3 separate regions of the Mus musculus genome follow, and regions 1 and 2 are each reported to be linked to region 3. Evidence: microRNA targets listed by miRTarBase, many of them from high-throughput screens and not tested one by one. Region 3 holds a microRNA gene; each other region holds the end of a gene's coding sequence.

Region 1 (3,355 bases), not on the chromosome of region 3:
GCAGGTGCACTCACCCACTGAACTATCTCTCCAGCCCTCTGTCTCCTGCTTTTATCCATCACTTGATACTGAGGCTTGCCCCTCATAGTAATTTTTATTAATAGTGCTTTCTTTCAACGACTTTGCATTTTTAGGGTGAAACTCTCTTCAGTGTAGTACTGTTAAACCATTTAACCCCAGGAAAAGATTCTTTTCATTTCCTGCAAGATGACGAGTCTCTTATTATATTTAGGGTTTTTAATATTCTGAGCTATTTTTATTTGCTGATCTCATGAAAACTTGAAGCAGTTCCTTCAAGAGAAAATTGTGGTCCTGTTTAGTTAAAAACTAAAAACACCACTTGCTATGGGATGCACTGCATAACATACAAACATTGATTGCATAACTAACATAAAGGAGATAGAGAGAAAGTCGTTGCACTGACGTGTTCTCTTCCACAGGTGGCGCCAGTGATTAAAGCCAGAATGATGGAGTATGGGACCACAATGGTCAGCTACCAACCCTTAGGGGACAAGGTCAACTTCTTCCGCATGGTCATCTCAAACCCTGCAGCAACTCACCAAGACATTGACTTCCTTATTGAAGAAATCGAACGCCTCGGACAAGATTTGTAATCACCTCACTCATCAAACTGTTTCAGTTCTCTAGGTAGACAGCTAAGTTGTCACAAACTGTGTAAATGTATTTGTAGTTTGTTCCAGAATAATTCTATTTCTATATCGTGGTGTCACAGTAGAGTACAGTTTAAAAAAATCAAAACCAGTGGGGTGGTGGTGGCGCATGCCTTTAATCCCAGCACTTGGGAGGCAGAGGCAGGCAGATTTCTAAGTTCAAGGCCAGCCTGGTCTACAAAGTGAGTTCCAGGACAGCCAGGGCTACACAGAGAAACCCTGTCTCGAAAAAAACCAAAAAACAAAGAAATCAAAACCAACAGGAAACATCACTCCTTTTTAAAATCCTTTCTTAAGTTTAGAATACCTCTCTAATAATTAGTGACAAAAGGCTGTGTTCTAATCAGTAAGAGAAAGTATAAAATTGTTATAAATACTTCCCTTTTAATATAGTATGTTAATCCAACCTTATTTTCACTTCAGAGCAGTAGTAATAAATAGTGCCAAATCACCCTTGAATCATAAAAGGTTCTCTGGGGTACAGTGAAAAGGACAAAGTAAATATAAAATGTATGTGGACAAGAAAAACTCTTGCCTTTTTCATAGTATTAGGAAAAGAATTTCTAATTTACCTAGAGCAACATTTCAAATGTATTTAAATACATATAATTTTACAAAAGAAAAATATATATTAAAAGAAATCCTATTTTGTAACATATAGATTTTATTTTATATGGGTTATACAGACTGCAGAGGCAGATATGAAACATAAGCCAGAGTTATTTCTTTACTTTTTTCTATCTTTCTTCTCATGGAGGCACAATAAAACACTTTAGCAAGATAGTTTTAACATAGAACCCACAAAATTCTTTTAAAATGTAATAACTTACTTTAGAATACATTGTGGCTTATCATATCCCTAAAGCTAGTATTTCAAAGCAAACACACACAAAAATGAAACTTCTAAAAACAATTGAACAGATCAACAATTAAGATTCTCTTCCTGTTTAGATGTTGCACTAGTTGACCTCGCAGACCCTGTCTAGAAGCCAGGCAAGCCCAGCTTGGACCCAGATCCAGGCAAGCTCGTCCACTCTGCTTCCCGGCGGCCTGCTTTCAACCAAAGGTTGATATTAGTTCTTGAAGTGTCTTTTCAAACCATATTCTTTTATTAGATCATCTGGATTAATTAGGAAAAAGGGTGAAAATAAAACCAAATCAGCCCTAGCAAAGAGGGGTACAGCACACTCCTTAAGTGTGATAAGCACAGAATATTAAACCCAGTCATGGGAGTCGAGACCTCTGTATGACAAGAATGGCTTCCTCCCAGATGCCATTTTGCTACTGTCTGGGGAAAGGGTCGTTTGCATCCCAGATGCTCTCTTCTTCAAATTCCTTCTCCATCCCACACTTTAAAGTCTCTCCTGCTAGACTCCCTGCCCCCAGACCCCTAGTAATGAATTACTATCCCATGTGGCTCTTTTCCTTTCCTGAAATGAGTTCCTCATGCAAGCAATTTCAAGGTAGCCTAAGAACTTCTTTTATCTGCCTCCCATCAAGACCCACAGTGACTAGAATGTGCAGAGATCGCTAAAATTCAAATCAAGAGTTTGAAAATACGTTTCTTTCCCTGTAAACTGGATGGAGAATGATCAACAGCTCCCATGATAACTTTAAGTCACAGATGAACAGATCTAAGTGCTGGTAGAACTATGGACTTTTACATGCAAAAGGCAAGTACCAGTCTGGAAGCATTCTCCCACTCCATATGGATGGGCATTTTGGTACTCAGAAAGATACAGGAACAGAAGAAAGAAGGCCCTGTCCCTAACTACCACAAATCTTTACAACTTAGCCCAGACCTTATTTGACTAGACATACTGATCCTCAGTATGACTGTAGCTTTGGGCCCTTGCTGTCTAGACAGCCAAAAAGAAAACAACCTGTACACCAGAGTGTCATGAAGTAGGTCAGCACTCCCTAATGGACAGGCATAACTTTCCTTTCTAGAACCTGGCTGCTGAGAGTAAATATGCAGCTGCCCATCCATCTTGTGCCTCAGGCCCACAGATCTCACTTCCCGGGCAGAGACTCACTTATCAAACCGAGTGTCCCGCTTAGAGAAGGCAGAAGGGCCTACTGTCTGATAGATGGAAAGCTTAGCCCTTGGGGGACAGACTTAGTAGCTCAAGCTGGCTTCTAGTTTGATGAGATGACAGAATTTAAAAAGTTGTGTCCATGCACTTTTTGCTAGTGAATTGGATCTCCAATCCCCTTCTTCTCCAGATTCTTCCTCAAAATTTCTAGGAGCCTTGCTCGGGCATGCAAATCTTCTCATCCTGTATCCTAGAAAAGGAGGTACATGCATGCCCAGTACTTTAATAGATCCTCTACAGCAGCTCTGCCATCCACTCAGGAGAGTGCTAAGGAAAATGGGATGAAAGAGTAATAATGGAGTAATAATGGAGGGAGACTATATTGAACGTTGGTCCAAATCCCCAGTGCCAATGGTCTCTATCTGTGATTTTTTTTTCTTTTTAAACATTGGTTTCAGTTTTAATCAGAATTGATATGCTAATTTTTATTTATATAGCAATATTTCATTTATTATTTAAAATACTTGAAAAAAGTGCAGTATGTGTTTATCTAAGACTTCTAAGTGGTATAGACTTCATGTTCTGTCACAGGATTTGAAGAAAGAAAATCGTGTGTGTGTGTGTGTGTGTGTGTGTGTGTGTGTGTGT
Region 2 (3,304 bases), not on the chromosome of region 3:
GCGCAGGCACGTGTGTGGCCGCCTAAGGGGCGGGTCCTTCGGCCAGGAGACCCCGTCGGCCACGCTCGGATCTTCCTTTCCGATCCGCCATCGTGGGTGAGTGTATGCTCTGTGGCCGCGCTCTGGCTAGTGGCGCTACGCGTCGCTCTCACGGGTGTCGTCGGATCTAATCCGTCTCTTTTCGAATGCAGGTGGAGCCGCCGCCACGATGCAGATCTTTGTGAAGACCCTTACGGGGAAAACCATCACGCTCGAGGTACGGGCCACCTTGCCGTTGAGGAAGCCAAGGCCTGACTGAGGCCCTTAGTGTTTGAGGGCGGGTTTCTGAGTTTTGAGTTGTGAAACTTGGCTTTGAGCTGAGATTATGGTGCTTAGCAAAAACAACGTTTGGTTTTCGGTGTGGTACGGTTTAGCCTGCTTTATCCCGAGTGGCGAAATGTAGGGTAGGTGATGGGAGACGCTTTTCTCCGGGCAGACGCGTTCCTGTGCTTCCCCCGCCGTCGCTCGCCCTGGTATGGGGACTAATTTGGATTGTAGCACTCTGGGTAGTTTGCACGCGGTGTCATCTTAATTGATTACCTTTAGCTCACCTCCTCCTTGCTCGTTTTGTATAAAGCTAGCAGTTAATGACTTACTATGTAACCGTATATTAACTACATATATCAAAACTTGGCAGGTTGAACCCTCGGACACTATAGAAAATGTAAAGGCCAAGATCCAGGATAAGGAAGGCAAGTAAAGTTTGTCACTAGAAAAATGACTGGCTTGTGTGACCTAGACACGTTTGTTCTTAAGGTAGAAAACAGATTAATAAATTTAGATGCTTTTGAAAGTAAAATATTCCTGACATTAGTGTCAGGCTATCTGATTAACTGGAAACTCTGCAGGACAAATCTTTTAAAAGTTAATCTAGAACTGTTTACTGAGTCACAAAGACGATAAAATGCTCAGGCTGGGCAATGGCCCAGTCCACACTTTAATCTCAACACTAAGGAGGTAGAGGCAGCCTGGTTACAGAGAAAGTTCCAGGGCTTTTACTCTTGGAAAAAGTTGCATCTAAGTCTGTGACCACTGTTAGCAATCATTTGATTCACAACAATGGGGAATGTACCTTGTTCTATTAAGCCCAGTATTTTTTCCTCTAATAGGAATTCCTCCTGATCAGCAGAGGCTGATCTTTGCTGGTAAGCAGCTGGAAGATGGCCGGACTTTGTCTGACTACAACATTCAAAAGGTTTGTTTGAGGGAAAACATGCAGAAAAAGGGATGATATTGAATCCACTAACACTTGCTGAGCACTGTAGCTGTTCCATGATTTTAAAATATGCGATGGTTGGTTGACCCTTTTTGTAGAGAGCAGTCTCCTGTAGCTCAGGGCCAACTTGAACTGGATTCCTGAGCCTCCTTAAAATTCCTAGTGCTGGAGTGACAGGCCCAACACCACCCAACTTTTTGACAGGCTGGAGTTAGACTTGTTGATGCTACAGTGCTGCTGTTTCATCTTCCACTAACAGGAGTCCACCCTTCATCTGGTGTTGAGACTTCGGGGTGGTGCTAAGAAAAGGAAGAAGAAGTCTTACACCACTCCCAAGAAGAACAAGCATAAGAGGAAGAAGGTTAAGTTGGCTGTGCTGAAATACTATAAGGTAAGTGTGGTGTTAGCAAAACATGGGTTCCACTTGGAATAAGATCTGAGCAACTAACTTTTGGAAGTACTTTTGGAGTTGAAAGTGAACTCCCCTTTGATATTTAAGTGAGTTTATAGAATTGGAAACAGGATTTTTAATTTGGAGAACTGACTTAAACCACTAAAAATTGGTACTGTGAGATCAATAGCTTGAGTCACTTAAATCAGGTTTCAGAATATGTTTTGTGAAATCATCTTACAGTAAATTCTTGTTTTGCAGGTGGATGAAAATGGCAAAATTAGCCGACTTCGTCGAGAGTGTCCTTCTGATGAATGTGGTGCTGGAGTTTTCATGGGAAGCCACTTTGACAGGCATTACTGTGGCAAGTGTTGTCTGACTTACTGCTTCAACAAACCAGAAGACAAGTAGTTGTGTATGCGTTAATAAAAAGAAGGAACTCGTACTTAGTATTGTGCTTTATTGTACATTTAAAGAATGTTTCTTTGGCTGTGTGATGTTGTATGAGCTGCAGCTGTCAAAGCCAATATAAAACTTGGCATCATGGCATGGCATGATGGCAGGCACTAAGGTCAATTCTTTTTAAGGGGTTGTGGAATATCCTGTAGACTTGGAAGTAGAAGCTACAGGACAGTATGTCTCACAAATAAGTTGAAGGTGCCAAGTCAAAGCTGCTTGGAATATATGGGAATAATACTGTATTGGTATGTGCATAAGCTGTTGAATGTTTTCAGTGTTGATTGGTAATTTTCCCCCTATATGAGAGATACAAGCTAGGCATGGTGGTACATAGTTAATTTCAGGACCCTGTATTTAAATGAAGGGAAAATATTTACCATTTTTTTAAAAGAATTATTTATTATATATAAGTACACTGTAGCTGTCTTCAGACACTCCAGAAGAGTGTCAGATCTCATTACGGATGGTTGTGAGCCACCATGTGGTGGCTGGGATTTGAACTCAGGACCTCCAGAAGAGCAGTCAGTGAGCCATCTCTCCAGCCCATTTACCTTTTTTTTTTTTTTTTATTTTTTTGGTTTTTCCGAGACAGGGTTTCTCTGTATAGCTCTGGCTGTCCTGGAACTCACTTTGTAGACCAGGCTGGCCTCGAACTCAGAAATCCGCCTGCCTCTGCCACCCAAGTGCTGGGATTAAAGGCGTGCACCACCACACCCGGCTTCCCATTTACCATTTTTAATGTGCTTTTAAAATCCTGGATCCCAGGAAGTCTTAGTTGGAACTTTATTTTCTTCATAACAAATGACTTGATCTCCCGGTTTGAATTCGACTTTTTCTTCATCTAAACTAAGACCACAGTCCATACCAGTTTTTATAACTGAAATGTCATCTTTATGGTGTTTCAGAGAGGTTAATGATCCTTAAAAGAAAAAAGTCATGCTGAGTATATTCAACAAATAGCAAGTTACCTACTAAAGTTGTATATATTGTGTAAGATCCATGTTCCATGGTAGTTGTAGAGGTCAGGACAATTTGGTTACTACCTTCATGGGATATTAAACACAAGCTGTAGGGCTTATGAGGCAAATGTCTTTACCTGCTGTGCTCCATTTCTACCCTTCCAGTGAATTCTGGGAGATTGATTTCATCTGAAATCTTCCATTTTAAAGATAGTCTAAGTCTTTATTTTTGAGGTTGTA
Region 3 (3,000 bases):
TCAGGCTAGTTTAAGGATCTCAGAATTGTAAATAATATTAAGGAATCACACTGCCCATTGGAATCAACATGGCACAAAAGGCATTATACCTCTAAACCAAAGAATAAAGCCTTAATAAAGATGTATGCCTATATGAACATAAGACTATTCAAAGTATTCTATTCTTTTTTTTTTTTTTTTTTGGTTTTTCGGGACAGGGTTTCTCTGTATAGCCCTGGCTGTCCTGGAACTCACTTTGTAGACCAGGCTGGCCTTGAACTCAGAAATCCGCCTGCCTCTGTCTCCCCAGTGCTGGGATCAAAGGCATGAGCCACCACTGCCTGGCTTCAACAATTTCATTTTTTAAAAAATTTGTTTATTTATTTTATTTATGAGGACGCTGCAGCTGTCTTCAGACACTCCAGGATAGGGTATCAGATCCCACCATGTGGTTGCTAGGACTTGAACTCAGGACCTCTGGAAGAGCAGTCAGTGTGCTTAACCACTGAGCCATTTCTCCAGCCACAAAGTATACTGTTCAAATATGAGAATTTGTATAATTTGCAAGAACTTAAAACCTTTACTAATATTACAATGAACGAGAGTAGTGCTCTAATATGCTCCTGCTTGCTGAACATCATCCACTAAGCCTGCAGTCTTTATTTCTCTCTCCAGGCACTCACAAGTGAGCTCGCAGGTAAGTAGAGAAGAATAAACAGACTATTAAAACCTAGTGTGTAATACAAAACTTCACATTTTTACTTTTCTTAAAACATTTTGTTTTTGGAAATGGTTCAGCTTAAAACTGAGGAAGCCACTCTATCACTGCAATAAAACTGCCCCTGAAACCATTCATAGACTAAAGCCCACTCTTCCATTACATGAGCGTCACCCTCTCCGTTCCCCACTGCACACTTACTAGGCGCTTTACAGTCTGTTTCCATTTCTGATTCCAATTTGATTTGAGATATTGTTTTTTTTAGAGAAGCCATGCTAGCTTTTTGCAGTGCCAAATACTCTTTCTTCAAATCCATCCATTCAGTCCTGAAAAACAAAAATTGAGCCATTACAGTGATAAGACGACCCAACTAGAAATCTGAAGTTGATCTAAACACAATGTTCATAGGAACTGCAAGTCTTTCTGACTTTTCTTTCTTTTAAGGCATATGTTTACATTATTTGTTAAGCCATTTGTTAAAGCTACCTAGCAAACACACAAAGGAAGTTTCTTTGTCTTAACAGGCAAGGAAAATGCTTGAGTTTCCTGGTTGCTTCTAATATTTAATTGTAAAATCACTTTTGAGTCACTTCTATTAAGTAAAATCACTAAATCAGGCAACCTGGAGAAAAAGTAAGAGACTAAAACTTAAAGATTTCTCAAATTGCTTCCAATTTGAGAGCTAACATTCCTTAGGATTTACTTGAATCAAAAGGAATTTCTAAGAAGAAAAAAACACCCCATGGAAGCAATTTATTTATTTACATACATTTAACATGTAGATGTATCTTCAAACAGCTAGGGCTCCTCCAGAGAAGCACAATGCATCTCCTGGCTCTGTGGGAGCGCTCATTGTTACCCTAATCTGTGCCATCAAACGGGCAGATAGGAGATTTTTTTTAAAGAGGAGGATATCTTGTGGTAATGGTTTTAGCAGTTAACATTGACATCTGTTTACTTCAAAAAAGGAAAAAAAAAAAAAAAATCCAGACCTACCCAGGTCCCCAGGACCTACTTTCCCCAGAGCTGATACATTAAAATAACAAAGGGTCTTGTAATGATTCTCAGAGATAGAAAGCCAAAAGGAACTCAGGAGTTAGGAGTAGTATAAATACAAGTGGTCTAAAGTCGGCGTCTTTCACCCTCCGAGGACAGAACAGGACTCTTTGGGAGGCGGTCACGAAGGTAAAGGAGGTAAAGCTTATGTCTGTAACCGGGTCACTTTACTTTCCTGTGGGTTTGCTCTTCTGTTTTAACTAGTTGCCTTGTGGGTGGGTTCCCTTCAACTTTAACATGGGAATGCTTTCTGTCTCATCGAAGAGTAAGTGCTTCCATGTTTTAGTAGAAGTGAATTCAAGAAACTCTGGAATAAGAAAGCTAGCCTTTTAATTCAGAGTCTGATGGGAGTCCCCTCTGCTTTAACATGGGGTTACCTGCTGTGTTAAACAAAAGCAAGTGCTTCCATGTTTCAGTGGGGGTGTCTTAAACTGTTCAACATTTTCTCTAAGATGCTGTAGGTTAAGGGAGTTATTGACTGGGCTTCCCACCACTTAAACGTGGTTGTACTTGCTTTAGACCTAAGAAAGTAAGTGCTTCCATGTTTTGGTGATGGTATGTTTTCCTTTATATTCATGCCTTTGTAAAGACCACTCAAGTCTGCTTAAGGGGCCTCCTTTACTTTAACATGGAGGCACTTGCTGTGCATTTAAAAATAAGTGCTTCCATGTTTGAGTGTGGTGGCTCCTACTTAATCTTCATTGTGCTGCATATAGATAGACCAAGGCCGTCACTGTTGCTAACATGCAACTCTGTTGAATAGAAATTGGAATTGCACTTTAGCAATGGTGATGGACCTGTGTCAGTGGCCACTTACTTGGACAGCACTCTCAATGGTATAACCTCCTCGCCCATCTTATGTCTCTCCTTGTGTTTCTTCTTATGCTTCCTCTTCACCTTTGAGAGTGAGTCACCTTTTCTGTCTGTCTCCTTCTCCTCCTCAGTAGAGCAGAATTCTAAGTCTAGAAAAAAGATTTCCGTAAGTCCGTTGTTGTGGTTAAACTGGTTAAAACATTTGTAACCCTACTGCCACGGTACCTCTGCTCTCCTTGGAGACCTCGGAAGCTGCTTGGCCGACGCCATCCTTCTGAGCCCTTTTCTTAGCTTTTGGCCTTGGGGGGAGGCAGTCTTCGTCCTCGGCGCTGCACCTCTCCCTCTTCCCTGCCCTGGCTTCAGGTAAGCTGGATGCTTCCACCTTGTCCCGCTTCTTCTTTTTCTTTGCAGGTTGCTTTGGAGCTTCCGGGGTT

The links. Region 3 holds the annotated microRNA mmu-miR-302b-3p (UAAGUGCUUCCAUGUUUUAGUAG, at 2,020-2,042, shown strand). A microRNA usually pairs through its seed, bases 2 to 8, with sites in the 3' UTR of a target mRNA and lowers its output. Matches are read on the target gene's strand: a 7mer-m8 pairs with bases 2 to 8, a 7mer-A1 pairs with bases 2 to 7 and ends in A, and an 8mer does both.
Region 1: the mRNA of Gad2 is a reported target of mmu-miR-302b-3p. Seed matches in the 3' UTR shown: 7mer-m8 at 795-801.
Region 2: the mRNA of Mtif2 is a reported target of mmu-miR-302b-3p. Seed matches in the 3' UTR shown: 7mer-m8 at 2,787-2,793.

Annotation. Positions count from the first base shown.
Region 1 is chr2:22,689,733-22,693,087 of GRCm38, forward strand. It overlaps Gad2 (glutamic acid decarboxylase 2), which reads left to right. Exons shown (of 16, transcript NM_008078.2): 16 at 441-3,355. The coding sequence ends at 614. Among named protein-coding and RNA genes, the nearest start is that of Mir3967, 37 kb to the left of the region's middle.
Region 2 is chr11:29,544,633-29,547,936 of GRCm38, reverse strand. It overlaps Mtif2 (mitochondrial translational initiation factor 2), which reads right to left. Exons shown (of 14, transcript NM_133767.3): 14 at 2,485-3,024. The coding sequence ends at 2,852. Rps27a (ribosomal protein S27A) reads left to right here. Exons shown (of 6, transcript NM_024277.2): 1 at 1-96; 2 at 192-256; 3 at 677-731; 4 at 1,149-1,234; 5 at 1,515-1,646; 6 at 1,908-2,095. The coding sequence starts at 209. The coding sequence ends at 2,057. Among named protein-coding and RNA genes, the nearest start is that of Clhc1, 1.7 kb to the left of the region's middle.
Region 3 is chr3:127,543,256-127,546,255 of GRCm38, forward strand. It overlaps Mir302b (microRNA 302b), which reads left to right and starts at 1,973; the gene lies at 1,973-2,046. Larp7 (La ribonucleoprotein domain family, member 7) reads right to left here. Exons shown (of 13, transcript NM_138593.2): 7 at 2,792-3,000; 8 at 2,571-2,715; 9 at 899-1,023. It overlaps Gm51018 (predicted gene, 51018), which reads left to right and starts at 1,834. Exons shown (of 2, transcript NR_146435.1): 1 at 1,834-1,891. Mir302c (microRNA 302c) reads left to right here and starts at 2,108; the gene lies at 2,108-2,175. It also overlaps Mir302a, Mir302d and Mir367.